4 linked regions of the Schizosaccharomyces pombe genome follow. The gene in region 4 interacts genetically with the main gene of each other region. Each region holds a gene or a part of one and is shown on either strand. Other genes may lie near its edges.

Region 1 (7,694 bases), on a different chromosome or scaffold from region 4:
CGGACCTAGGCGTATTAGTATATATTTGAACTAAACACAGATATGTTGTTGTCGATTCTGACCAGCTAGACAAAAACCAGAACTCCAATCAAACGTTGCGGTTACGTTAGCTTATACTCACATTTATGAACAAGACGAAGAGAAGGAATGATAGGGCCGTCGAAGTGCTGGAAAAGGATAATTTCGCCATTCAAAGTATACAAAAATAAACGATCCTCACTTAAACAATATCAGTACGACATACTAAAAATCACGGATGCTGATAAGAACGAACCATTTTATTTGAGTTAGTTGTGATTTTTTGGGAATTAACTCATCGATAACTTGTTTTAAGTTAGGATAAGCTTGTACTAGTTTTGCTTTTATTCCTCTTTGAATAGAAGACTTGATTGGAGTAGTTCCCTTTATATCTTCTCTAGAGTTAAATCTGTTGAGGTTAGCAATCATCCTACAAAATTATAAATCCAATTTAGAGCAATACCGTTTGAACATATTATTGAGTATATAGGAGCTGCAGACCATTGCTACAATAAGTTACTAGGTTGTAGCCGCGGTCTCCTCTCGGATGATCCGCGGTGTTGCCGATTACCACCTCGAGGGTTACAAACGTTAGATATATTCATTCATATTTGTGCACGTTTTTGTCTTCTAACAGTAAAAGCCAACTGGTTAAGAGAAGACATAAATCTAGCATATTATTTATTGAGTAATTGTACACTATAGAGATCCAGAATAATATAAGATGACTTCGGAAGCGCCCAGGGTAAAAAATAAGAACCCAGCACCCATCCAAATCTCAGCTGAACAATTGCTCCGAGAAGCTGTAGAACGACAAGATGTGGCGTTTGTTCCTCCAAAAATTAATATCACTGATCTTGAGGAGCTTCAAGAATTTCAAGGTCGAAAACGTAAAGAATTTGAAGATGCCATTCGACGGAATCGTCTCGCTATGGGCCATTGGATGCGATATGGTCAGTGGGAATTAGACCAAAAAGAATTTGCGAGAGCTCGCTCTGTTTTTGAAAGAGCTTTGGATGTAGATTCTACTTATATACCGTTATGGCTGAAATATATTGAATGCGAAATGAAGAATCGAAATATCAACCATGCCAGAAATTTATTTGATCGTGCTGTTACACAGCTTCCCCGTGTTGATAAACTATGGTACAAATACGTATATATGGAGGAAATGTTAGGAAATATCACCGGTTGTAGACAAGTATTTGAAAGATGGCTTAAGTGGGAGCCTGATGAAAACTGTTGGATGAGTTATATTCGAATGGAGAGGAGGTACCATGAAAACGAACGGGCTCGTGGCATATATGAACGATTTGTCGTTGTGCATCCTGAAGTAACGAATTGGCTTCGTTGGGCTCGTTTTGAAGAAGAATGCGGAAATGCTGCAAACGTTCGCCAAGTCTATTTGGCTGCTATAGATGCTCTTGGTCAGGAGTTTCTGAATGAACGGTTTTTTATTGCTTTTGCAAAATTCGAAATTCGTCAAAAGGAATATGAACGAGCTCGCACCATTTTCAAATATGCAATTGATTTTATGCCCCGATCAAAATCTATGGAACTATATAAGGAATACACTCATTTTGAAAAACAATTTGGAGATCATTTGGGCGTTGAGTCTACTGTGCTCGATAAGCGTCGATTACAATACGAAAAGCTATTGAAGGATTCTCCTTATGACTATGACACTTGGCTTGATTTGCTGAAGCTCGAAGAAAGTGCAGGGGATATTAATACTATTCGCGAAACCTACGAAAAAGCTATTGCTAAGGTTCCTGAAGTAGTTGAAAAGAACGCATGGAGACGTTACGTTTATATTTGGTTAAACTATTGCTTATTTGAAGAGATAGATGTGAAGGACGTTGACCGCGCAAGAAAGGTTTACCAAGAAGCTCTCAAGCTTATACCCCATAAAAAATTTACATTTGCCAAATTATGGCTCATGTATGCAATGTTTGAGCTTAGGCAACGTAAGATTGATGTTGCTAGAAAAACGTTGGGTCGTGCGTTGGGAATGTGTCCAAAACCAAAATTATTCCGAGGTTATATTGAATTCGAAGACGCAATTAAGCAGTTTGACAGGTGTCGAATTCTTTATGAAAAATGGATTCTTTATGATCCCGAGGCTTGTGCTCCCTGGCTTGGTTACGCTGCCTTAGAGACTAAGCTTGGAGATAGTGATCGTGCTCGCGCTTTATATAATTTGGCTGTAAACCAGCCTATTTTGGAAACCCCAGAGCTTGTGTGGAAGGCTTATATTGATTTTGAATTCGAGGAAATGGAATACGGAAAAGCTAGAAGTATTTACCAGCAGTTACTACGGACTGCACCTCATGTTAAAGTTTGGATTAGTTTTGCAAACTTTGAAATTGCCCATCTGGAGGACGATGACGAAGAACCACCGAATGAAGAAGTGGCTTCTCCAACCGCTGTTGTGCGTGCGCGAAATGTTTTTGAAAATGCATTGGCCCATTTACGCCAGCAGGGTTTGAAGGAAGAGCGAGTTGTATTACTTGAAGCATGGAAACAATTTGAGGCAATGCATGGCACGGAAGATACACGTAAGCATGTCTCTTCACTAATGCCACAGGTTGTTAAGAAACGCCGTAGACTTGAAGACGGTTCATTCGAAGAATATTTGGACTATCTGTTTCCGGATACGGCGACTGATCAAGGAGATAAGATGCGCAAAATGCTCGAACTTTCGCGAAAATGGAAAGAGGAAATGGCTAAAAAGAAGCTGGAGGCCTAGATTACATATGACATTTATTGGCGCTATCAGTTTAATATTTAGTAATCGTGTAAAATATTAGTAATTAATTGTTTACGAGGCAATGGGTCATGTAAATGGACGTTGTTACGAAGTTGAGGATATTCAGCGCTTTGGACTGTTCGGATAATAATAAAATAACTGTTTTTGCATTTGAAAGGCCGGAATGGCGCGTAGAAATAAGACAAGCAATCCATATTAGTATTATTAACCTTGAGTTTCGATCTGAGTTTACTTACTAAGCAAGATAAGCGAAAAATTTATGGATATTATGTTGAGGGAATCACACTTGTAGAAATGAGAAAGTTGTAAACATGACAATTTTGAAGAATCCAACGCAATTCGTAAATAACACATTAAAATACAATAAAATGAAAAATCCAATCCAAAATATATTTAATATGTACATATTTATATTTATAAATTGATTGTTCTTTACCTTGCCCCATTGACATACGATCGAGTATCTACCAGTGCGACTAATTTTAGTTTTGTTACTCAAAGTGGCAGGACTCACAGGTAAAGAAGCGGCTGGTTTGGAGTTGTGCTGATCTGATGAACTTGTCAATCAAATGAGATTACAAAATCTGACATTGGTTATTTTCAGCACTGACAGCTTATTCGGACCGGTTTACCCAAATGTTCTGCTAAAGTGAATTTACAGAATACAAAAATCGGCTTATGCGACCAACGTATTAGGCAACATTTTGACTTAAAAGAAAAAATTCATACACAGATTCTGCTAAAAACTTAAAGACACAAAGATGTTCGTATGAATAAAAAATGACTGACTATAGTGAAAGAAATACCAACTGTTGCTAGTTAAAGTTGCAGCAAGTTTTTTGAGTTATTGTTGCCGAGATGTCGATCTCTTCAAAGGTAACATCCAGCATCAAAGATCGCCGAGAGTTCCCAACCATTATAGCCAGTAACAACCCAGCATACTTTGCGTTATGGTGCCTTAAAGGTACGTTCACTGACGATCGTTTTCAAACTCGGTTGACACTCGGGTGAAATGAAGTTGCCTTCTGTCAACTGCCACTTCCAAGAATCTGAATAAGAGAACGAGGATCCGGGAAATTTTCGTAAAAAGAATTCATTCAATTAAAATTAAGGGACTTGCAAAAACTATTTACTGTGGTTTTTAAGCTAAATCCTTGCGATTATAAGAAAACACTTATTCTTTGTTTATCAACAAGGCTGATTTAGCTTCACCACCGTTTTCCTTTTCCAAATCCTAACATTTTTCTTCGAACTTTACTTTTTTAATTGATGCAAATCATCTTGTGCTATTCTCTCTTCTCTTACTCTTGTCAGCTGTGATTTGATTTTCCACTAATCTTGTCTAAAAAGGTACTGAGCATATCCTTTATTTTTATTTTCAAGGTTATTGTGGTTTTCATCAAACTATTCTTATTCATTCTCTCTTTGTATCTTCGTTAATCTCGGGTTTTTTTTGTTTGCCACTTCTCTCTTTCTTTAGCCTCGTGATTTTAGCAGACCCCGGGTTACAACTTTTTCGTTGTTATACTTCCTATTGTTGAACTTACTTGATCTGTGTCGCTTCTCGGCTAAAAAAGTGCCCTTGCTCCTTACTTCCTTTTTCTTTTAGTATTTTTTTTGCTCCTTTATCAGTTCTTGACTTCAAGCTTGAGCTAACCGTAGTCCCTTTTACGTTTACTCGTTTTGAAGAATAATTGGTGTAGATTGCTTAAAAGGATTTCAAATTCGGCGGGACTTAAAATCTGCGAAAACAGTAATTTTTATTTTTTTTCGTTTTCGTGATTTTGGGGCACTACTTATTCTTCCTGCTATCGGCGTTTGTTCTTGGTTTTTCTCTTCGGTTATTGCGTTTACACACAGCAGTTTTGAAAATTATTGAGTAAAATTTTGGTATTCGAAAACTGCTTGTCTTTAACTAAAAAAAATATTATCACATCGTTCGTTTTACGCCAATCTTTGCGTTTGCCAGTAATTTATACTGCAGCAATTGTCTTTAAAAAACTTTATACGTGTTAAATATATTATTAAAGAAAGATGAGGGAATCGAACGTTAGCATCGTATGGAATAACAAAGCTTCTGTCACTATCAATACAGTCCTTTATGATCGACGTGCGCTTGACTGTGACTCCGAAATGTCATTAATGAATTCATTAAGCCATCTCGTTTATTTGACTTCGACTTCACCGAAAATTCGTGAGATCCTTACTATGGATGGTGGTTTGATGCGTTTAATGAATATTTTACGTGCCGGACGTGGACAAACATTTGCCCGAATGACAATATGGCAGCTAGCTCTTCAGTGTGTCGTAAATGTTGGGATACGTGGGTCTGAAGCTATTCGAATTCGTGTTGTGGAAGCTGGTATCGTTCCTATTGTTGTCACCCTTTTAGATGATTTTTTGTTTGCGCTTGAGTCCGTTGTTTCTCACCATTCTCGATTTCAATTTTCCCTTACACCTTCTACTACCCCTCCTCCATCATCCGCATCTGCTCCATTCCCCATTAATTCTAATATTAGCAATTCTCTTGATTCTGTGTCTCAACACAATTCATCTGCTGACTCTTTGTTCGTCAACGGTGATGTACCATCTCCATTTGGAGCTAGTACGGCAAGCTCTAGCTCTAGAAGAGTTTATTCGGTGGATTTACGGGATAGTGGAGATGTCCAACTTCCAAATCAATCTACGTTTCGACATTCCGTGAATCGTGATTTATTGGGATCAAGCTCTACCACTAGTCATGATCGATCCTCCGGCTCCATTTATTCAAATGATTCATTTCAAGATCCTCGTGTTCAAGCAAACTCTCCATTAACCATTCAAAGAATTTCATCAGCTGCACCCTCTACTCCTACTTCTACTGAAAATGTTAATTATAACATGACTACCCCTTCTTCTCCTTCATACTCTCGTCAAACAGGCCCTGCTAGTGAGACAATTAATGACGAGATAGACTCTCCAAATTTTTTCTTTCCAACTCCGCTTAATATTATGACTACTACTCAGGATTCATCACGGGATGTGCAATTGTCTTTAAATAATGTTCAATCACAGGCCTTGAATAATCGTCAGCGTCGTAATCAACTTTTACCTGGTGTTCCTTCTACATCTGCGTTATTAGATGGCCGCAGGCCCGAAAATGTAGTTGATTATCACGGGATTGCCTCATTCTTTGACAACTTTGATAAGAAGATTAATAAACTCCCTCGTGAAGAAGATATACTTTTTGGTTTGCAAATTCTTGCTTATACTAGTAAAAACTATTTCCATATGCGTCCTTACTTCGAGTCTTCTAAAGATGTTCCAAGTTTACGTATGTCGCCCTTACGTAGCGGCAGTAAAACGTGGAATATTTTTCAGTTAGTCGAGCAGTTCACCTTGAAATTCTACCCCCCACAAGTTCAATACTGGGCCAGAGCTATCATGAATAATTACTGTCGGAAAGATGAAAGTCATGGTGGTATACGTCGATGCGCCAATTTGTTATGTAACAAATGGGAAGAGCACAGTCGTCAATTTGCTAAATGCAGAAGATGCCGACGTACAAAATATTGCAGTAAAGAATGCCAGCATCAAGCATGGCCGGGACATAGTCGATGGTGTCGCGTAATTCATAAAGATGGCAGGAATTCCAAACGAGAGAGCTCAAAAATAAACTCAGTCACTGAAAGCGAATCAACAGCATCCCCGGCTGCATCTGTTATTCCTGTTGGAACAGAATCTGTAACTTCAAGCACTCAGAGTGATAGCAGATTGTAGTACTAATGACAGTTTAATGACAATTTCTATCCATTTCTTACTAGGTATGCTTACGCTTCAAATAGACTTACAGTTGGAGGTCACACATATTCTTTTAATCATTTTTCCGGCATTCAATACTACGTTTTGAATTCATTCCTTAATTCCCTTTGCCATCAATTATTATTTCATGTGCCGTGAAGAATATGAATTTCAGCTAACTCTTTACTCGCAATTAAGTTAATCGTTTAACCTTTTTTTATGCAATTAATTGCCGATACATTCAGATTTGTTCTTCTTATTATGGATATCGTGTGGTTTTAGCAGGGCAATAATCATGAAAGCTTTTGAAACCTACAGGGAGGTACGAAGGTGTGGAGGCCACTGTCCTAATTTATTAAAACTTCGAGTTTCTTTTCCGACTGTCCTTCTGTTGCTTATCGTTTTTTCTCGTAACTTAAATGCTTTTACTTAAAATAATAAACTTTTTTCTTTTCAACTTGTTTTTGTTTGACTTGGTTACTTATTAATAAATTAGTCAAAAATTATACATAGCTTTTTCGGAATAGTTAAACCTATGAACAGGGCTAAAGCAATACGATGTGATATTGCATGAAGGCTAAAGCTTTTTGTACTTGTATACCTGGAAGTCAAGAAATAGATCGTACTAATGATGCTTTCGCTAAATTGACTAAACGAAAGTATTATTTCAAGTTATCTTGTCTGTTGACGCTAATATTTATAGAACATTTAGGAGGAATCAATATTATAATGAATTCAGTATTTCTCTATTAGTAGAACAGACTTTGTAATTTGCTTATTACTATAAAATTAAACCAACTCACTTGCAAATAGTGAACTGGAAGAAGTACCGTAGTTTAAGCATAACCATTATACAGTTGAGACAGCAATAAATTGAAGGCTGCTGTATTCAGTGCACTTGTGCTGCATTAAATTGATCTTTAAACCTATTTTTATCTTTGGTTTTCGAAATGCTGCCCCAAGATGACATGACTGATGAAATGAAATCATTGGCAAGCCGTTTAGAAGACACCACTCAGGCTTTTTATGACTTGGCATTGATCGTTTATAACCTTGAAGATACTACTCCATCTGATGCCATTCCTGAAAGCCTTGATACTCTTATCAGAGATCTCAAATCTCTTCC
Region 2 (5,874 bases), 650 kb from region 4:
AATGCGATATATAAGATGGAGACTAATTAATTTCGCGCGCATAGCTTGAGATCTGATATTACTGACTTTATCAGGCGAGGTTTGTCTGACAGCAAGTCGACACATGGATCGGAACACTAAAAACGCGTCTTGGATAGAGGAATTCTCAACACTGGTGACAGCTGGGTCATCTGCGTCAACTTTAACATGATCTAATGATGAAGTGCCAGCAGATGCCATAGAATGAAGAGTAATTTTCTTGTCAGGCTCATCCTCATCGTGAACCCAATTTTCCGTCACCGATGCATCTTCTTCCGGTAAAGCAGATGTAGAGTTCGACTGAGTGTGGCTCGCGCGTAATCGTTCATAGACTACAGTGACAGCCTGAGTCAAAGAAGCTTGAGCAACTGACTGTATAGTATCACTATCCCCGAGAAGAAAGACATTAAAGAGTTTACGAACAGAATTCAATAATATCGCTCCATGAAGCATACTATCCTGCTCAGAACATAAGATAAAGGCAGATAAAGCTTTTACAACATTCAATTGCAGATTTCCATCAACAACTTCATCATTGATACTATCGCATACCATATCAACCATACACTGTAGAAGGGATTTAGGGGGCCCAAATGAGGCAGGTGTTTTATCTTTTGAAGAAAAATAGGCGAATGAAGCAAGTTTAGAAATAGTGTCTAAAGAAATGTTCATAACTTCATCTTGACTGGATTCAAAGCAGTACTGAAATAACTCTACTATCAAAAATTTGTCAAACTGACATTCGGTTTGTAGAAGAGGTTTTAGTTGCTCCATTAAATTCTTCATCTTCTCGTTCTTCATACAAACTTTTATTTGTATAAGCTGCTCGATGCACTTTATAAGCACTACATGAGTGGATTTTTCCAAATTGGTTAAACCTGATTTTTGCTTTTCCAAACTGGCCCTCGATGCAGCGTCAGGTACAGGCGTCGCGATAGTTTCATTGGATTTTTTGTCGTCTTTCAAGTCTTCTTCTTGATATTTCTGCTCGATTCCTTCGGGACTCTTTTCGTTTTCTTGTTTCGCTGGCGACAACGACGAATCTTCTGTATTTATATCAATACTTACCACAGCATCGCCTTCTAAACTTTCAGAAGCAACACGACCGAGATCCATACCATTTTCATCATCTTCGTTGTCAGAATCATTAATAATTTTAGTAACTGATGTTGTTCCAACTTCTGGAAGATCTTCGTGTCTGTCATGTTGCTCATTCACGGAGTTCATAGGCAGAGCAGGCATATTGATCACAGGTTCAGAGGCATCCTGCATTTTGGCATCGGTCACGTTCAAGCCAATTGCCGTCTAGACGAGCCAACTTTTAGCAATGAAATATAAGGCGGAGTATGTCTTTGCTAAGTGTTTTCGGCCTTAATGTGTCGAACGTTAGATCTCGGTTCAATGTGCTACTTATATAAAGCAAACGAGCGAGACTTATAATAAATTGTTTTATTACAGTATGGATTAAATAGTAAACATTATAACTAGATTTATACAATATTCGTTGTTTTACTGAAACTTTTATTGTCGATATTGACCGTGAACGTTTTCTTATTTCTTTTTTACAGGACAGCATTCCTTAAACTGTAAAAGGATTAAGGAATTAAACAAAATGTACGATTTCTACCATTTTAAACATGTTCTAAAAAAAAGAAACAAACAAAGTTAAGTATTAATATTAGGCTACATTTTTTCGTCCCCTTAAAAATCCCAAAAAAAAATATCATAAAGTTTAAGAAAAGGATATCAGTCCAAGGTTTCAAATTGACCATTTAAAAATTCGACAAACATTTCCTTGAGAACATTGGTATTATATGATTGTTGCCGGTTAATTTGGATAAATTGACGGCGCAATCTTTGAAGTAAAGGAAGAGATACTGTAACACTGGGTAATGCGATTTGAAGTTTGCTCCCTGGTACAGTAATCAAGGAGGTATCGTTGGAATTATCCAGTATAAGCATGATTACGTCTTGAGTAGTTTTATCTAATTCATATAAATAGTTGACTTCAGCTGGAGGTTTTACCATTGTAGCTTGGTTAGGCTTGACATTTTTGTTATGAATAAGAACTGACCAGATGTCATCGATAGGACAAGAAGCATCATCGTGCAAGACAGTAAATAAAGGGGAATCCCATCGTGTCATTCCATTCGGTTCTTCATAACGAAACATTAATTGCTCAAGAACATCGTCAGGATACGGCTGTTCCTTGTTACTATTGAATTTTCGACATAAATCTTGAGGAACAGCAACATGAATCACACAATGAGTTGTGTACATAGACTTTGATTCACAATATAACTGGTATCGAAATCCTTTTATGTAATTCAAGGCATCGCAAATTACGAATGTAGATTTTGAAAGTTCACGCTGAACAGCAGAATAGAGAAGGCCACGAGCGGCCTTTTCGTTCTTGGACTCTAAGACAAATTAGTTACCAGAATTACGAAAAATTGCATATACGGATTCTCCCATCATCTAGAGTAGCTGGGCACAATCTGAAGCCAAAAATGAATTGGCTAATTTCCAAAAACTAAATCATTAAAGATAACTATTTAAACATACCTCGATATGTTTCTTTTTCAATGTTTAAACTCTCATCGTTTATTATTATCACCCGATAATCCTTTGTATTGTCGATATTTTGATGAATTCGATCTTCTAAAGCCTTTTTAAGTTCATTTGACCTCGTTGTTTTCCCTGAAGATGGATAACCTGAAACAATTATTAATGGCATTTTCTTTATGTTCTACAAAATAGAAGGTTGAATAAAATCAGCCGTAAAACATATGTTTGAAAACTTCCAGCTTTTTTTTGATATATTTTTTCATGAATTTAACGAAAATTACTAGTTCGTTAAACATTAGTAAACAGTTAATTTTTATCCTTAATTTGTATTTCGTAATGCGCTCAATTTCGGTACTGACTTATTACTTACGACTAGTAAGTATTGCTTAGGCTTAAAAACACAGTAATTTCAATTTGCGGTCTCTTTAATTTAATCTTGCTTCCCTTTACCTTATCAATTGTTCTAAAAGAATTAAGGATTAACACTAGTAAGACCCCGGATTTTAATCGCTAAAAAAACATGCACGCCTTCTACGCAATCAGGGTTGTTCAATTTAAAAATAGTAATCATTTGTTGAAAGATTTTAAAGGTGCATAGGACATCAAGAAATATAAGCTAAATGCAGTTGATTAAAAGTTAGAAAAGTATCTACTTATGCCGCCATTAACATGTATCTGGTAAAATGCGACTAACTTATAACACATGTTGTATACCAGTCCAATGATTAATTTAGTACCCTGGAAAACGTCTTGAATATTGGGTAAAGAAAAATCAGAACTTAAAGAAACCTAGGCTGAAATATTTTTTTTTTAAATAACTATTCAGTTTGCCAGAGAGTGTAACAAAATTAAAGAAAGAGAAATATAATTGCATTCATCATAGGACTGCCAGTTTCATAGCAAATAAGCAGACCTAATATTAAAAAAGCAATTTTATCGGCTCAATTTTAGTCAAGCGTACAGCTGGCAAATAAATTGTTAGCAATTTAAACCAATTTATGTATCCGAAGATCATAAACAACTGCATATGTCAGAAATAAACTATCAAAAAAAAAAAAAATCCACGTAAATTTCATACCGTCCTCAGATCTTTTCAAATCATATTTTAATCCATCGAAATGTCTTCTTAAGGAGTCGTTTTTCAAAGAGAGTACTTGAAAAGAAGAATGAACTTTTTGAATAGTATTTAGGGCCTCAAATGGAATATGATAGTTTCCAGATATTACTGAGTTTACAGATTGACGAGCCTAGAAATTGTGTCAATTTGGATTGTTGAATAGAATATATACCAGTTCAGAACACAGAGATAGTACTGCGTGCAAATATTGCTCAATTGAAAGATGAAAAGTGGACTCTTCTGGAAAAACCGGGACTGAAGATTGTGAGAAAAATGTAAAATAATTTACGCACCTTGCAAAATTTGACCAACTTCGGAAAGCGATAGAAGGCTGTACGTGGGTCTTAAACTTTTATCTAAACGACCGGTCCAGGAAGCTAGCAAATATAAATAAACAACTTTCTGAATTGATCGATCCCAGACTCCGTTATATTTATAGTATGGAAAATTCGATGCCAATTCTGCTAATCCTCTGGTTTTGCTTTTAATGATCTCAAGAGCTTCTAAAATTTCTTCCTGATTTTCTAAATCTTCCAAAGTTAGTCCATGTTCTTTTTCTTGTAAATTTTCATTTCTACTTTGTTCACAGTTTGCCAAGAGAAGTTGCAAAACTCTTAACTTTTCGTCTAACAAATCGACCTCTGCAGTCAGTTTCTGTAATGTTAGTTTGTCATAATTTCCAAGATTAGTACCTCCCGAATACTATGTTCTTTATCAATTTGATCTTGTAGCTGAATAAATATTGATTTATTCATTCGACTTAATCTGTAATGTATGCTGTTGAGTAGTGTTGATATTCGAATGATGTTTTCAGTATGCAAATAACACGACCGTTGTGATATTTATCAGCCAGATTATACCAACCTTTTTCTTAAGTCGTAAAATAAAGATAATCAATTTAGCGGGTATTTTGCAAGTTATTAACTAAAATTATTACTAGCTGCTAAAGAAACGCTTGGGTTGTTTAGATCTTTTATATGTAAAATGATATATTATGTAACTGAAGAAGAATCTAACCTAATTGAATAATTTCCTTTAAATTAATCTAAGCTTACAAAATAAGTTTCATCAGCCAACATTATTTAAAATTAAAATCATGCTGATTTCGAACCTCGAGTTTCAGGAGGCAGAAAAGTAATTCCACTGCCATCGCACATACGTCGAAAGTGACCATTATTATGATAAAGTACGGCTGGGGGACCATACTCTACCAATACACCCTTATCCAAGACCATGACTTTGTCATAATCAACAATAGTTTTCAAACGATGGGCAATACATAACATAGTTGCATCGCCAAATGCTTCACGCAATGTTTTTTGAATTTTCTGATCCATAGCATCATCCACAGAGGCAGTACACTCATCTAGAATAATAATTTTGGAACGTCTAACTATTGCGCGTGCTAATGCAAGGACTTGTTTTTGCCCTTGTGAAAAATTAGAACCTTCAGAAGCAACATGTGTATCTAGTGTGATATGAATAGGTTTTTGATCATCAGTATGAGCCATAATCATTGAACTGGCTCCACTTGTTTTGAGAGCTTCATTAAGAAAATTGTCTTCAAGCTCGTCGAAAGGATCTAAATTACTGCGTACGGTACCTGAAAATAAGATTGGATCTTGAGGGATAAATGATATACGTTGCCTTAAAGCGTTTAGGTTTACCGATTGTGTTTCACGACCGTTAATATATATTTCACCACTAATACGATGTGTAAACCGTAATAGTGTAAGGCCAAGAGTACTCTTTCCGCTACCAGTACGACCGACCACAGCAACCTTTTCACTCGGATTTATATGAAGATTCACGTCTTTAAGGATAGTAGGACCGGCTGCGGAATAGCTAACACTAACATGATTAAACACAATATCTCCCTCCTTAGGCCATGTAGCTGGTACCTGGCCTGCAATAGTGGGTGCTGGTTCTTGCGGAAGTTTGCTATACTCTAAAACTCGTTCATAGCTGTTCATCTCAGCTTGCAACGAATTACATGACCTTACAAATAACAGAACCGAAGAACTGAAAATAACAGCCTGATTAAGAGAAAAACCCACCACACCTGGAGACAAGTCTTTCTGCAAAAGAGCGATTAAACCGGCAATTGCACCAACTAGACCACTGATGCCATCTGTTCTAACAGCAACCCATCTGTTCAAATTATAAGAGGT
Region 3 (8,466 bases), 2.9 Mb from region 4:
TATATAGATTTTTTGAAAGCCTCCGATGTGTTTTTTTTTATTTCCTGTTTTTTTGGGACCAGCGGTTGATTACCAAGATTACGTAAACTACCTTTGGTTCATCCTAGGATTGTGAAAATTGAACCATTTCTGACTAATCCTATTCAAACAATGATTCTATTATTATTTTATTTCTTTCTCTCTCATTCATGCTCACTTTAGATCAAACAAACCGATTTTGTGCTTGAAATACTTTCATTCCACAGGTGTTGGCATTTGTTATTACCTGTCCCATTTTCTGTAAACTGAGGTTACATACTTTGGCTCGCTTGATGAGTTTTTGGTGTTGACCTTTTGTATCGCTATTTTCATCTTTGCTTTATCGATGTAGCTGCGCCACTGTTGGCCTAAGTGGGGGACTTTGGGTTTCTCTATAGCTTTCCTACTAACTTAGTACTGGGAAAATAACATGGTTACGGTCACCTCTAATTTAACACAACCCAATGGAAAACATCGGTAAATCGATAAAACGTACGCTATTTTAAGTGCAAAATGCATTGATGGTCAGCCAGTCCATCATCATCCTTGGAAAGTTTTTGTGTATGCAAGGAATTGGTCAGCACTGAAAACAAAAGAAAACGGTTATAGAATGAAGTGTTAAACCTCTTCCCTTTCTCATCATAGTATCAATTTTAAATCAATCAATTTCATATATTCATATGTAAAACATCATACAGGATAATATTCTTGAGAAATTTGTAGGTGCTAAAAGACAATAGCAAATAAATCGCATAATCAAAACAGAGCGATTTCTCAAGAATGATTAAAAAAGAAATAATAATTAAAAGTAAAAAACCAAATAAAAAGATGAACGAGTTGTAATAAACTAAGCAAATAAATTAACTAATTAAATAAATAATTAATTAATTAAATAAGCAATAAAAAAAAACCCCAGGAAAATAAAACACAATGATATTATACAATGCGTTTAGGATCACGTCTTAATACAATAAAATTCGATTCTTAAAAAAAAAAAAAAAAATTTCAATGGATTATTAATGTTTATTGCAAAATCTTTAATAGGAAGATTATAGCAATTCAATCGATGTTCAATACAAAACTGAATACGGCTTGCGTTTGAAGATTGTATAAATTTCCGATATTTAATTATTTATGCAGTTTAAAGCTCGCATTCTCTTTCGAGTTGACACTGGCAATTTCATTATTTAACCTTTTCAACCCTAACTGAATATGATATTCTTTCCAATTTAAAGCTATTTTATTTATAACCAATTTTCAAAAAATAAATAAATAAATAACTAAAGTCAATTCACTAGCCCGCTTAGTGCACCTCTCAAGTTGAACAAAGAATAAGAAAAATAGTACTTGCCATTTAGTAATAATAAGTTGGCATAGACGAGACAACGTAGTAATTGTTGAAGGAATAAGGAACTTTTAGGTTTTTAGATGACGGTTCTACAGGAACGAAAAACTTTCTACCATGTTCATTAGACCATCGCCTTAAGAAATGGGGAAGTGAACAAATGAAGGACCGATTATGAGTAGCAAGCTGAAGTATATCTGAAACTAGATATAAAGGTGTGGGAAACACATATTTGACGGTCTCATTTTGAAACACGTGCCCAATGTTAGAAGACATTTTTTTTGTAGAAAAATCATTTTCCATACTTAAAACAGACGGTGCATTGATTCCAGGCAAGGATTTGTCAACGTGACACACGTCCATCAAAAGCAGACTGTGGTGCGGAAACTGTTTTGACAATCGTTCAAAAAATCTAATGGCTTTCGTAGGATAGTATGTGAGTTTTTGCGTGCTAAAAAAGGACCAAAATACTTGTTTAACACCGGAAAAGTACCGTTTAGCCCTGCTGTCGCTAAACCCTTGCTGAACATTAATCCTAGCTTGTTGAAATGCTAAATGGTAATTCAAAGAGCTAACTTTTTGGTGAGTATTTAGAGTGAAGAATTCGTTTAAAAAGTGCTCTGGACCAAGCCAGCACCGTTCCATCATCATGGCGCCGTTACTCTGACGAAATAAATCATGACCGAAGGAGCTAATTACCTGTAATGCCAATACAAAGCAAGGATTTGTATCAGTATGGTTCCACGTTAATGGATCACTAACATATATATCAATATGATCTCCATGCTTTGCATATCTCACAGATGTCAACATGCTCTTAAACCAGCTTGCTTGCCAAGAATTATGCAAGACTATATTGTATGTAGTACGTCCATAAACTTCAAGGTGATTTTTATAAAGATAATCAAGAATATCCAATGCTATTATTCCAGTCCCAGAATGAAAATCATATATTTTCAAATCAAACACCGGGAAATATCGAAGTTTATACTGCAACACCAAGTAGTTACTAATGGACTCAGAGAATAGAGACCTTTGCTTTTCATAGATGTTTAATGCCTTTTGAGGAATAGGTATTCCATGCAAAAAAGGATCAAATTCTTTGGAACATTTATGCCCTTCTTTCCTTAATACATGTACAGAATGGCTCAAATTATTGGTTGAGCCTGTCCAAAGTCGAGAATAGTAACCCTTGCTGGGATCAAACGTAGATTCATGAATATAATCGGCTAACGAAACCTTAGAATCGCGGTGCAACAAAAATCCATTATCAGTAGTATACCATCTTCTTGGGCCATGCAAAACTAGACCGGTATTTGTAAATGCAAGAGCACTAATTACTCTGCTTCCAAATAATAATGAAGCTTGATAAACTTGAGAGCGACTTAGCTTCCACATATAAAGATTCAGCATTTAACACTCTTTGTAGTATTAAAATTGAACAAAATTCATTATTTATTCGATTACTATTATTCGAAGTTGAGAAATAAAATGTAATAATATGATTTCATAAACTTACTAGGTGAAGTGCTTTCCTCTGTCAACTTTTGTTTTGCAAGTTTTAGAACGACTTTGGATAATAAGAATCGCTTATTTGCTGTATTATCTTCAAAAAAGACTGACCATTTTCACGACGCGTTTTTGGCGTGGTATATAAATGGTGTCAAGAAGCTAAAAGCTTTCATATTAGGTTGAAGAAGTACTGAATTTGTATCATTCAATAAATAGAATTTACTTTTACAAATCAAATCTTTTAATCTGATTTAGTGAAACGGGATCGACTTATAACGTGCAAAACACAAATACAGATAATACAATTGAAAATAAAGAGAAAGGTTTACTCGAATAAAGTAGAAACCTAATCAATTTGACTATTTTAAAACTAATGCATAAAAAACCCTGTATAAACTAATCATCGTCATCTTCAGCCTCCACAGTTTCGGCATTGCCGGAAAGAGTCGCATCCAAAGCAATTTTAGCGTTGGCTAAACGTTGAATGTGCTCTTCGATGGTATCCTTGACAACAAATTTATAAACTGTAACTTCTTTCTTTTGGCCAACTCTATGTGCTCTATCTTCCGCCTGAAGGTCATCGAATGGATTGAAAGAGACATCATAAAGAATAACCATATTAGCACACGCAAGATTGATACCAAAACCGCCGGCTTTGGTAGAAAGAAGAAATACATTAATGCTTTCATCAGCATAAAATTGATCGATGAGATCCTGGCGGAAATCGACTTGTGTAGAACCATCAAATCTTAAAAACTTTAGATTTAATGATTTCATGACAAGTTGAAGAATGTCCAAAACCTGTGTAAACTGACTAAATAATACAACTCTGTCGCCATTTTCAACAGCATTAGTGAGCAGTTTTTTAAGTTTTCTGACCTTTGTGGCGTCCATCCAAGGTTCATCTTTAAGTTGGAATGAATTGATAGACGGAAATTTGCAACACAAATTATGTAGCTCAATATCTGACATGTACTGCATGTCTTCAAATATATAAAGTTCGTTTGCCTTTTTGTATTGGGGTTCATTCATAATAGCTTTCGCCATTTGTCGAAGGATATCATCTTTATAATGAATTCGAAACAACATAGGGTGATCCGCAAGCTTACGAAGCTGTACAAGCACAAAACCAGCTGTGCTTTTCTTCTTTGCAAGATTTGCATTCGTATCTAAATTAGTTTTCATGACATTTTCATCCAATAAAGAATTTACACTTTGTTTGCTAGCGAAGTCATCATAACGGCGACGTTCCTCTTCGGAAAATTCGCAAAATTCTATAATACGCGTTTTCTTCGGCAAAGCATCTAACACCTGGCTCTTTTTACGGCGAAGGACAAATGGGGCCATCATCATTTTGGCTCTCGATACTCGCTGTTCTGAAAGCAATGCTCGTTCAAAGTCGCTTTCTGGGGATTTTTTCATAGTAAAAATGACATCTAAACTTTTCAAACCATAATCAAATACATGAGGAAGAATGAACGCTAAAAGCGAAATTAATTCTTTAAGATTATTCTGTAGCGGTGTACCAGTTAGCAAAACTCGAAAGTCGGCAGGAATACTCATCAAATGACGATATCTCTCAGACGCACGGTTTTTCAAGTAATGACCTTCGTCATATACACAAACATTGAACTTTTGGTTGCGCAAAAACAAACGATCAGCCTTACTAGTAGCGGCTAAACGGTAGGTGGTTAACATAACGTTATAAGAATCTTTATTAGAGTTGATACGTTCACGAATTTCTTCACGTTCGACTTGCGATCCATAATAAAGTTCAATTTTTAGCTTGGGACAGAACTTGGCAAATTCACGTAACCAATTCTCCATCGTTGAAGCAGGTGCAATTACCAAATGTGGCCCGTTAATATTTTTATCCATGAGTAATGAGAAAAAAGCGATGGTTTGACAAGTTTTACCGAGCCCCATTTCATCAGCCAGGATACCAGCCAGTTTGAGCTCGTACAAAAGGTAAAGCCAATTAATCCCAATGATCTGATAATCCTGTAGTTTGATATCGGGCGAAAAAGATGCAGGAGGTGTAGTGATAAACGAGGAATTTGCAGGCGTACCGAAACTTTTCATTTGATCAAAGTTGACAAGAGAAGTTTCACCTTCATCAGATGTAGCAGTGTTTGACAAGCCCCACGCTTCAATGCCGCGCTGAATTTTACCACCTAGCTGCTCACACTGACGAATAAGCGCATCCACTACGAAATAACCACGCATAATTTCCATACATATACCAACTAAACGTGGTCCAAGAGGAGTTTTTTCACGTCTACCTCGTCTACCTTTGGGAATCACCGGACGAGGTTGCTTAACGACCAAAGCAGATTCAAGATCTGGAAAAGGTCTTTTGGCAACCATAAATTCAGCTTCAGCAAGCGTACAACCTGTCATGTCAGCCAAATCCTGTGTTGAACAACGATTCATATATTTAAGAACTTCCTCCTTTAGAGCAGCAGTATCTATACGAGATGCCCAGCGATCTGCATTTGAATCATCATCAGAGTACATATCATCATTGCTGTCATCGTCAGCTTCAGGCTCATAAGTCTTTCGAGATGACAATGGCAAGGTAAATTGAAGTCCGTTAGTAAGATTATTAGCAGCATATCGTTCTCTCATTGTAAGACGATGTGGGGCTGGCTTTTGATTTGTAACCTGTGAACTCAGTGATTGAGACGATAATGAAAGAGGTAAAGAATCGCTTGCTTCTTCGTCATCCATGTAAGAGGGCATTTTGGGCTCTGTCTCAGAGAATTGAGATAAAGCATTGTAAACAGCGCCGTATGGATTTTGGGCATCCATAAATTGCGAAGGAGTGCCAGCAGAAGGTGTAGGAACAAGATTTTCTAACGAACCGGAATAATTATATGGTTGATTTATGGAGTTAGCAGAGGAAGTAAATGAGGGAGAAATATCACTCAACTGCTTGAAATGTTCTAAACTTGAAATGGGTGCAGTAGCCTGAACTCGTTTAGACATCTCTGAAAGAATCTGAAGTCGCGAATTCATACCACCCCCCATAACATTAGCTTTTTCGGTAGCTTCTGAAAGCGAATCAGCAATGAAAGGGGGGAAAATTGGCTTGCGCTTCACGTTGGAAGTCGCGTCGTAATGCGTGCCATCAGCGGTATGCTCTATTTTTCTTTTTCCATCCATAATTAAGTAACAATCAATGTATCCAAGCAAATGGCAAAAGAAAATTGAATCTAAAATATAGGATTTGGAGAAAAAATATGTAAGGTCACGTGTATATTATGAATAATTTTATCACACGAATTAAGAGCGCCGAGAATAGATGCAAAAAGATTGAAACTTTTTAAATTCTCCTAAGATTAATTAAAATGGAAGAAATAACGACAAAACAATACAGATTTCTTGTTTCACGCGTTTCTTGGTAACTCAAATAGTTGAAAACTTAATATGGGAACAGCAGATTACAAAAAATTTTGAGGGCCAAAACTTATTGCAATTTCTAAAACAAGAAACAATTCCTTTAGTTACGAGATGTGTATGAGTTAATTAGGATAGACCACCTTCTTCTAATACATAAGCGTTGTTTCGAGATGATATGCAGAATTTAATGAAGAAAAATAAAATGTAAATGAAAAGTAGACAAAAAAATTTTAAAATATAAATTTAAAATTTTCCTGATGTTTAAGATGAAGCAAACTTGGTAAGCTCTAGCAATAAACAAATACTCGCAATTAAAGATCACCAAAAACGACTTATACTTTGGCTATCCAAAAACAATCTTTGTTTAAAAAAAGAAAAAGAAAATTACCAAAATTAAAATAATAACACTCAATGAATCGGATTGTTAAAGAAAAAGACTCCAGTCACCCAATACCTTCTTTTGTATTATGGAATTATTCGGTATAATTCAAGAGCACACTATGCTGGTAGTTTGTTCTTGATGTGGCACGGGGGCGTGATATGGTGGTAGTGGTCCCAAATACTGATGCTAAATAATGCCTTAAACGTTGTAACGTAGTTTATGGTAAAGCTATATCATGATGGCAACTTGCTCTTTATATTACTAAACATTTAGCAAAAGATACCGTGGCGAAATTGTCTTTATTCTTTTATAGTTTTAATAAAATCATTAAACATAACTGCAGATACTAGAGATCTTTTGTCACTGAACCTTAAGAAATATGACAACAAATAGTGTTTCGTTATATTATGGCAGCGTACCACGTTATGTTTTCTAGGTGATACTGCAAAAGCTAATGTTAAAAGAGGATGGTTTGGGTTCTAGGATTATATTATTTAGTTAATATTTTATTAACCTATTTATTTAGATAAAATAGTTTTGTAAAACACCTTGCTCATCACTCAAAGTTATTTAGCAAAAATTTGAGTGTCGAGTAACAGGCTACTTTAAGGAAATATTTTTAAACGCTTTATAAAGTAACTATTTGCATACGATTGTAGTAATCAATACGAACATCAACTGCTAAGTAGCTACTTCGGGGATTTGAAGAAATAGAAGTCCATCTACTCATTGCATTGAATTCGTATAATATAATTTTTTCTTAATATTTGTCGTTTTTTCTGTCAAAAATATCGCATTGGTTGTTCAATTCTGCAAGAACAGCCAGGAATGCAGTTTCACTTTTAAATTAATATTTTTGAATTTGTCCGTTAGGAGGCCCTTCGTTTCTAAGAATAATTGTTTAAAAACCTGCGCTGTTTATTTTTTTTCCCTTTTTCTTCTTTGTTTTTGCTTCATTATTTTAACAACACCTATATTGTATACAAGTTGACAGTTAACGTAGTAGGAAATTAATATCCTGCTGGGTTTTTAAGTTTTCTTATTGCTGTGCTATAATTGAAATTTGCGTACCACTTGAAGGCATTGTTGGATCTAAACTGAAGGTGTGTTTGTATGCTGCATGTCAATAAATGCCAATTATGCGAAACAAGACGTCCTTCTATTTGCGAAAGCTGTTTAAAAAAGCAGCTTTATGATTTTTATCATAAACGTGATGAATTCTCTCGAGATATTGAGTCAGAGCTTGAAAAGGTTGCTAAATTGAAATCAGAAAGTTTCTCTCTAAAAGGAAAGATTACCCAAAAAGAGGAATTAACTTATCGACTACAGAACCTTGCTGCCTCTCTAAACGAAAAGAAATCGTTATCGTGTGACTTGCATTCCCGCAAACAGCTTATAGAAGATGACTTGTCTAATCGCAAAAAATCAATTAATATCGCGAGTCAAAAGTTAGCTGGCTTATCACATTCAACGAGTGACTATTTCTCTAAGGAATACCTTACAGCTTATCGCCGTTCTGAGCTACTTCAAAATAAATTGCATGAGTATCAAAAGAAGCTGATAACAAGGGTTTTGGATATGTATCAACTTCACTGGCAAAGGGATTTAGTGCTTAACACTCAGGGTTGCACTCAAAAATCTGCTCAAATGGGATCAGAGTTTAACCCTGACTCCATAGATTCATCTCTTGCGTATAGACTTTCAAAATTATCAATGGGCAATTCGAAATCCGACTTATCTCATAGTGACAATGAAACAGGACATTTTTATAGCAACTTTTTTTCTCAGGTGATGGAGTTAAATGCCT
Region 4 (8,378 bases):
TGAAGAGATAGAATTTTTTATTCCTCAATTAATGTACGTTTATTTCGATAAATAAAGAAAAATTTTTGGGGGGAAGGAAAGTACCAAAAAGTCGAGCTCATAAGTCAGTGAAAGCCGAGTATATGACTCATATGCCTATTTCATAATTTAATGACTCTCTTACCTTTTGATTTTCTTTCCTTCAAACGTTTATTCCGTTGTGTTCGTGCATCTCTAATATCATACTGTAGTCATCTCGTCCTTAACAAAGATTCTGAAAGCGTTGCTTTAGAAGAATTTATCATTTCTCAATGTGAACAAAATACACAATGCGCACTCATTACATTTTGGTATTTGCAAGCCCATATGGTGGATCTAGGTTTACAGCCGCATTCTTCTTGTTTTAAAATATGTAAACGACTTTACAATCGTATTCAGATTTTGGTTTTCATGTCATCATCATCGTTAATACAGTCCCAACAAAAAATCTCCGAAAATGTAACCCCTGCCCTAATCCTTTCAGGCATCATGCTAGGTGGTGTTTGTGTGCCTGAACTACTAAAAAAAGCTGGCCCCATTGCAATTGCTCAAGGCCGTAAAGCCCCTAGGCAAGATCCAGATGAATCAGATGTTGATGTTTTACGCCGTCTTTCCACCGAACCTCGATATTCTCTGGACGTATTACGTTCGTCTTTGAACAACTCTATTGTCGAGCAACATTCCGAAGTATCCCTTAGACTAAAAGCTCCAGAACTAACCCGCACCCATTCATATCAATCATCAGCTACATTATCTATTGACGAACAGCGTCGTGTTCTACGCTCTAATTATTTTCAACAAGAAATTCAATTTCTTTTTGCTTTACAAGATATATCTATCCGTCTCATCATTGTACCTAGACAAGCTCGCCTTTCTTCATTACGCGCCGAACTTGCTCTTTTAAATAACAACCTTCCAGCCGATGTGAACATACCGCTTTTACGATCATATCATAAAGAAGTGAGTCATAAAATCGTTCGCATTGATCCTAAAGAGGCTACCATACTCAATTCTGCCGAACGAGTACCTTATCTTATTATGGTTGAGGTCCTATCTGGTGAACTCAGCTTCGAGCCACAATCGAAGAAAAATAAGGCTAAGGTGCAAAAGATTGTCTCTCATAAAAACCAAAGAAAAAGGTGGTTTGACCTCACAGATGTCGATCCTTATACGAACCTTCAAGACAGTACCGACAATGATATTTCAGAGTCGGAAAGTGAGGGAGGGGATTTAAGTATGTCTCCTCTGATAAAAGGGTTGGTACCGGACACTCTTTCTTTGAGTAAGTCATTCTCTTCGTTTGGTAATGTATCTTTGCAGGTACCGTCCTCTCATAGAGATACCGATGTCGTCCTGTTATCTGGGCGCCACTCTGATTCTGATGGAAATGGCGCCTTAAAAAGAAGTAAAATCTATGCTTCAGAAATAACAGCGAGAATGCGAGCTGCGGCAACTATGCTAAGTCAGCTTGATGCTGAAGGTAGCAGACGTCCCAAAGCTGAGACTGAACGAATAAAAAATAGCATTATTCTTGACATGCAAAGACTCGAAGAAGAGCGCCTTAATGAACCATCCATTTATCCTGTTTCAGTCGACATATCATGCGCAGAAGATCTGCGATTTGGCAAAGAAACTCAAAAGGCAGAACGGAAAGGTGATAGAGATGATCCCAGTGCCGCTACATTCCAAGAAGATTGGTATGCCAAGAAGGAAAGGATAAGAAAGTCTTCTCCTTATGGTCATTATCCCAATTGGGATTTGGTCAGTGTGATTGTTAAAACGGGTGCGGATCTCCGGCAAGAGACATTTGCCTGTCAACTTATATACGCGTTTCAGCGTGTTTGGCTAGAGTGTAAAGAAAAGGTTTGGGTTCGAAGGATGAAAATTTTAGTGACCGGCGACAATAGTGGCTTAATAGAAACGATTACAAATGCCATTAGTGTTCACTCTATTAAAAAGAATTTGACGAAACAGCTTCGGGAAGCTGAACTAGCCCAAGGAAAAATTGCTGGTAAAAATGTTGTTACATTGAAGGATTATTTTATAAAGCAGTTTGGTGATCCCAACAGCAGCCGGTATCGACAGGCACAGACAAATTTCCTTCAATCATTAGTGGCATATAGCATTATATCATACTTACTACAGTTAAAGGATAGACATAATGGTAACGTTCTTATTGATAGTGAAGGTCATATTATACATATTGATTTTGGCTTTTTACTTACGAATACACCGGGGAATGTTGGCTTTGAAAGCGCTCCATTTAAGCTTACGGCGGATTATTTAGAAATCCTTGACGACCGGTTTGATGAATATCGTTCCTTGATGAAAGCTGCGTTTAAATCTGTTCGAAAAAACGCTGATCAGATCATTTTGCTTGTTGAAGTTATGCAAAATAATTCCACAATGCCTTGCTTTCGTGCTGGTGAAAACACAAGTGCACAACTTTTGCAACGTTTTCAACTACAGCTTGGTGACAAAGAATGTGATGACTTTGTGGATTTGTTGATTCAAAAGGCAAATTGTAGTGTTTGGACGAGACTTTATGATCTGTTTCAAAATATTACGAACGGAATTTACTAGTAAGTGGCTATTCGTTTTCTCTTTTCATTTTTTTCGAATACAGCTACGGAGCTTCCACACTTGAACCATACTGCTGGTTGGCTTTTTTAACTTTCAATATTGTATTAAAATCACCACATTCACCATGGTTCGTAAATTTGGTAATTTTTTTGTTAGCTAGATTAGCTATATTAATGCATTAAAAATATTTTATGTGATCTATATGATTTATCATACCCACTAGAAACCCTTGCAATTATAATATACTATTAAAGCATACTGTCTAAATTAACTGCATTTCTAAGTTAGCAAACAATTTGGCGTAGTTAAATCCGGGTTAAAGAATCCTTTCGCACTTCCGTATATTGACATACCAAATTTTAAAGTAAGATTAGGTACTGCAACCCACTTCAATTTACCCTTTACCATCAAATTGAAAAATTAGGCGCAAACAGTAATTGTATATTAGAACTTGGAATTTTTTTCTTTTCATTTATAATTTTGTGTTATAATCCTTTGTTCCTTCTTCTACTAGGGGTTGTTTCTTTGCACAATATTGTAGTTGACATTGGTTAATGGGGTATCTTCATATTGATTACAGTATTCGTGATATAACAAAGAAATTTGGTAGGAAAATTTTAGTGTTGATTAATAGTTTTTCTTATCAGGATTATATCCAACTGAGGTGAATTATTACTTGAGACTTTACATCATTAAATTTTATGCAGGTATTAAGTCGTGATTATATCAGTCAAACAAGTACCTTTTGAATTCATTTTCATACCTCTTCTTGCTTGAAAGAAAGAAAATCCCTTTTTGCATCTACAAGCAATTAATCCAACAGTGACATTTTGTGTTCGTATTTTCTTTTACAATAATCGTACATAAATTGGTTTTTTGAGTGATTATAAAATGATGAATAAGTGGGCAAAAAATTGGTTCGGGCTGTCTAAAAAATCGGTTTCCACCAATTCTGCTAAAGGGTCACTTCCCCGAAGTCCTTTGGCAAGCATCCAAACCAATCAACCAGTTGAGGAAGGTGAAGGTGGTTCACTTCCTTCAGTTTCAAATTTAGGTCCTTCCTCGATAGACCATCCCATGGAAGAATTCGCCAGTGACCAGTCTACGGTTGGTAACAGAAATAGTAATGATATATTACCTGAAGTTGACCATGAACCTTCAGGCTATTTGAAACTTCAAATAGGTTCATTAGTTTTGGGAGGACCTCATACTGATGCAGCATTAGCCATGGAATGCTCAAGACTTAATCAGTTGTTTGTTGTTGTTCAATTTGGTACGACGGAGTTTGTTTCACCTCCATTGAAATGGGAATCACCTGGCCGTGATATAGGCACATCTAGTCGGGATTCTGCTAATGTGAGTAGGAGTTCATCTATGATGAGCTCTCATCCCATTCCTACTCCTGCAATTCAACGTACGTCTTCAATTCCAAATCCCTTAACTCCATCTTATGTTGTATTTGATGTTGCTAAACCGGTCCCCATCGATGTTAATATTTATGACCATGGTAATAATAATGAATTTGTTGGGAGAACTTACATTCACCCGTCTTATAATTATGGTCAATTTGAACAGTTTTGCAACAGCGTTGAAGTTTCTCCCGCATACAACCGTATGGTTGATCTTCGTCTTTCTCTCAATACTGTTTTCCAGCCTCTCAGTCAACACTCCTACGGCCCTGATGACTTCGTTCCGTTGAAATTAATTGGAAAAGGTACATTTGGTCAAGTCTATCTTGTTCGTAAAAAAGACACCGAGCGCGTATACGCAATGAAAGTACTTTCCAAAAAAGTAATAGTCCGTCGCAAAGAAGTTGCACACACTGTTGGGGAAAGAGACATTCTCGTCCAAACTTCTGCAGCTGATTCGCCCTTCATCGTTGCTTTACGTTTCTCTTTTCAGACCCCCAAAGATTTATATTTGGTGACAGATTATATGGCTGGAGGCGAATTATTTTGGCACCTTCAAAAATCGGTACGATTTCCAGAAGAAAGGGCAAAATTCTATATTGCCGAATTGTTGCTTGCTTTGCAAGCGTTGCATAAACGAGGAATTGTATATCGGGATTTGAAACCTGAAAACATTCTTTTGGACGTTCAAGGACATATTGCCTTATGTGATTTCGGTTTGTCAAAGGCCAATCTTTCAGTGGGGACTACTACACGTACGTTTTGCGGTACCACGGATTATCTAGCTCCTGAGGTTATTTTAGACGAAGCAGGGTATGATATGATGGTTGACTTCTGGTCTTTAGGGGTACTTTTGTACGAGATGACATGTGGCTGGAGCCCTTTCTACGCTGATAACACACAACAACTTTACAAGAATATCGTGTTTGGTAAAGTCCGTTTTCCTAGAGGGTTGCTATCTGTAGAAGCCAGAGATTTGATTAAGCTATTATTGAATCGTAATCCAAAGCATAGGCTTGGTGCACATGGGGATGTTGAAGAGGTAATGAAGCATCCATTTTTTGATGGAATTGATTGGAAGAAACTCGCTGCGAAAGAAATTAGTCCACCATTTAAACCAATAGTGGAAGGTGAAATAGATGTTTCTAATTTTGATGTCGAGTTTACAAATAAAGCAATCGATAGAGACTTTAGTAGCACAGATGAAATGTCGACCTCTGCACCTTTATCATCAACTGTCCAAAATGGGTTTAAGGGTTTTACCTATATTGACGCAAGTGCTATGGATGAAGCATTCGGATACCACAACTCAAATGATTCTGCTTCTAGTATTTCCAGTCAAGATGATTATTCTAAGGACAATTCCGATATGGACTTAAATCGTGCGAACGATGAGGTATTTATGGGACAAATAGATCCATAATACGTTTGGTCTCCACGAATGTATCACTGCATTGAGAATCTTATGCCCATATTTTTTCTAGGCTGGATCCCTGAACCCGAGAGTATCTTTTTGTACACGCTTTCAATCGTTGTACTATTTTCTTATTTACTAGTTGTCCAGCAAAATTTCAACATGTATTTTGAAGGACAGGTAAATAATGTTTTAATTTAATCAGCGCTTAATCATTGAAGCGTATCGTTTTAATTTTTTTTTATTTCCCTTCTAAGAATGATTTTTTAGGATTGTTATTAAGATGCCTGTTTATGTGGAAGCAGGTTCGGGTGAAGTTCATTTTTTTTCGGTGCATATTAAGGGAATACTTAATGATCAAAGGATCTATTATTTCTATATTTTAATCTACGTTCACCAGGCTTTTTTGGTGTAATGTTGGGCTTGTATGGCGTTGAATCAACTAATTTTGGAACAAATTGTGCTTAGTTTTTTTGGTTCCGAACTATGACTTAATTGTGTACAGTGGTAATTACACAATTCCAAAATTCGTTGAATTGGCTGACATTAGTAGTAAGGTATTTTGCTTTACTAAGTAATTGTCATCTTGCTTAAGGCTATTCTATCTCCAATTGTAATGTCTTCGATTTTGTTCCTCTCCTTATTTTTTTTTTATTTTTCTCTTTTGCTGGATAGACGTTTATTCAGTTAGGTTGAAGTTCAGTTTTACGAATGTATAATGGTGTATGTTAGAATCTAGTTAAAGACATATTCTTTTAAACGCAAAGGAATTTAAAAAAAAGAAAAGACAAAGTACAATAGCAGTATTATTGATGCCCTCCTTGAGGGTCGTTTTGTAATAGATCTTCAGATGAAGATGTATTTGGATACTGTCGTATACGATAATTTGTTTTAGATATAACGATAATGACATAAAAATTTTTTAACTATGGTTTTGGAAACCAGTTTATCGATTTTTATTTTACTTGTGATTCTCTTCATTCATTTGTCTTGTGGGTCTTTGCCACAAATATTCGATATAATGTTTATAAAAACTAAATATGTAAAAAAATAACCTGTACATTCATTTTATTAAAAAAAGTAATTATAATAAATATTCTTTAACTTATGGTACACATAATATTGTTATCATGTATGGTCTTGATGGAGAAAAGGTAAATAACTAAACTAAAAAATTTAAAACGAAGTAAAAAATATCGGTAAGTACGAAAAATAGATAAAATTTAATAAAAAAAGGAAAAAAAAAAAAACAATTACATTTTCTCAAAAATCACTTGAAAACTAAAGACTCTTCTTGTTTTGTAATACTAGACTTATTCAATTTGACTAAGTAAAACACACTTGTATAATAAATAGTATATTTTATTTGTAATGATAACAAGGTCTCGTGGCCCAATGGTTAAGGCGCTTGACTACGGATCAAGAGATTCCAGGTTCGACTCCTGGCGGGATCGTTTTTTCAAAAGCTCAAATATCGTGAATACTGTAAAATACCTTTTAAGATCGTGCGTCTATGTATCCTATTGCAATCCAGTAAACTGCATATGCATAGAGGGATTGTGTTTTTAAAAGCAATTAACCTCGGTAATATTATGTATTTATTTTTTTTGGCGTAGACACGCCTTTGATAAAGAAGCGATATGAGTTAACAAAAATTGAAGATAAAATTTATTATTAATAGGTTCCTAAGATTGCGTCCGAGACCATTCACTCGAAACTTCACCGAGATGGTATTTCATTAAATAACGCAACCTAACGATATATCATAAATTAGATAAGGCATATTTGGAATTCGCAAAACGCAGCTTAAGTAGAAGCTCGCATCTCAAATATGTGCGTTGTAGGGAGCGCGAATTTTTACCTGCTCTTAGCCAACTTGAACATACAAGGACGGGAAAGAATTTAGGGGGAATATGAGGTTTGTAGAGCTAAATGCCTTCAAAGTATTTATTACTAACGGAAATTTAGGGTACATACTTGCTATTTCTGCTCGGGTCCTGTTTACCCAGGACATGGAATAATGTTTGTTAGAAATGACTCCAAGGTCTTTCGTTTCTGTCGCAGCAAGTGCCATAAGAACTTCAAAATGAAGCGCAATCCTCGTAAGGTATGTTTTTTTTATAATAAAGGAATGCAAAAACGTTATACAGACTTGGTTGAGGAAGATGATTGATTTTGAAAGAGGAAAAATTTTTTTCTGTTGCCTTGTTTTGAAATGATACTTTTCTTCTTCAAATTCTACCTTAAATGGTGTACTTTTTCCTTTATATGCCCATGAACGAAGAAAGTTTTCTATTGTTTTTTTAAATGTTTTGCTTCCACCTATATGTATGTATACTAACTTCAATGTCTAGGTTGCTTGGACCAAAGCGTACCGTAAGGCACATGGAAAGGAAATGGTTTATGACACAGCTCTCGCAGTTACCGCAGCTCGTAGAAATGTTCCTGTTCGTTACGACCGTAATGTCATTGCAACTACTTTGAATGCCATGAAACGGGTTAGCCAAGTTCATGCCAAGAGAGAGCGTCTGTTTTACAAAAAGAGATTGGCTGGCAAACGTGCCCAAGAGCTTCAAGAAGCTCAAAAACTCATTGCTCAAAATGTTCCTCAATTTACCGAACCCGAAGGTGAGGTTGAAACTGCTGAGGTACAAGAACCCCAAATTGTTTCCGACGAGGAGTATACCATGGAAGAAGAAGTTGCAGAACCTGTCAAGATTCCCGTCCTCGCCAAAAAACGCAAAAACAAGAAATCTCGAAACTCATCTTCAGCCATGCAAATGGACTAAACACTCTTCTTCCTACAAAAATGTAACTCTCGATCTTCCGTTGGTTGCGTCCCGCTTCGTTCTTTTATTTTATTTTATTTTATTGTTTTATTCCTTTCAAATTTACAAAATAGTAGAAGAGAAGACATTTTTGGGGAGTGGTTTTCTTACACTTTCGAACTCTTT

What was found.
Region 1: mutations in sck2 (region 4) and mub1 together harm fitness more than expected from each alone (negative genetic interaction), as found in Schizosaccharomyces pombe (2 studies listed by BioGRID).
Region 2: mutations in sck2 (region 4) and kti12 together harm fitness more than expected from each alone (negative genetic interaction), as found in Schizosaccharomyces pombe (2 studies listed by BioGRID).
Region 3: mutations in sck2 (region 4) and fft3 together harm fitness less than expected from each alone (positive genetic interaction), as found in Schizosaccharomyces pombe (2 studies listed by BioGRID).

Annotation. Positions count from the first base shown.
Region 1 is NC_003423.3:3,766,106-3,773,799, reverse strand, and holds mub1 (armadillo-type fold protein, zf-MYND type zinc finger protein, Mub1-Rad6-Ubr2 ubiquitin ligase complex Mub1), read left to right. Parts: upstream 1-3,815; 5' UTR 3,816-4,822; coding exon 4,823-6,547; 3' UTR 6,548-7,194; downstream 7,195-7,694. Other genes in the region: RNA-binding protein Tma20, read right to left, coding at 1-5, 122-219, 275-427, 482-492; protein Cwf4, read left to right, coding at 743-2,767; mediator complex subunit Med10, read left to right, coding at 7,519-7,694.
Region 2 is NC_003424.3:4,391,135-4,397,008, forward strand, and holds kti12 (elongator complex-associated protein Kti2), read right to left. Parts: upstream 2,824-5,874; 5' UTR 2,756-2,823; coding exon 2,584-2,755; exon of another isoform or gene 2,439-2,583; coding exon 1,765-2,438; 3' UTR 1,679-1,764; downstream 1-1,678. Other genes in the region: Sec7 domain-containing protein sec72, read right to left, coding at 1-1,290; tsn1 (translin), read right to left, coding at 3,573-3,607, 3,665-3,833, 3,876-3,958, 3,997-4,233, 4,282-4,357, 4,396-4,458; vacuolar phytochelatin and glutathione S-conjugate ABC family transmembrane transporter Abc4, read right to left, coding at 4,798-5,874. UniProt on the Schizosaccharomyces pombe protein: Elongator complex-associated factor that is not a structural subunit but rather transiently contacts the complex.
Region 3 is NC_003424.3:2,095,010-2,103,475, forward strand, and holds fft3 (protein Fft3), read right to left. Parts: upstream 6,797-8,466; 5' UTR 6,041-6,796; coding exon 3,272-6,040; 3' UTR 3,186-3,271; downstream 1-3,185. Other genes in the region: SPOM_SPAC25A8.03C (uncharacterized protein), read right to left, coding at 1,373-2,776; protein Atg14, read left to right, coding at 7,773-8,466. UniProt on the Schizosaccharomyces pombe protein: DNA helicase that possesses intrinsic ATP-dependent nucleosome-remodeling activity and is required for heterochromatin organization.
Region 4 is NC_003424.3:5,043,632-5,052,009, reverse strand, and holds sck2 (serine/threonine protein kinase S6K family Sck2), read left to right. Parts: upstream 1-2,997; 5' UTR 2,998-3,492; coding exon 3,493-5,433; 3' UTR 5,434-6,394; downstream 6,395-8,378. Other genes in the region: Golgi-specific 1-phosphatidylinositol 4-kinase, type III-beta Pik1, read left to right, coding at 1-33, 231-2,601; ribosome biogenesis protein rlp24, read left to right, coding at 7,338-7,342, 7,393-7,531, 7,779-8,213. UniProt on the Schizosaccharomyces pombe protein: Protein kinase that is part of growth control pathway which is at least partially redundant with the cAMP pathway.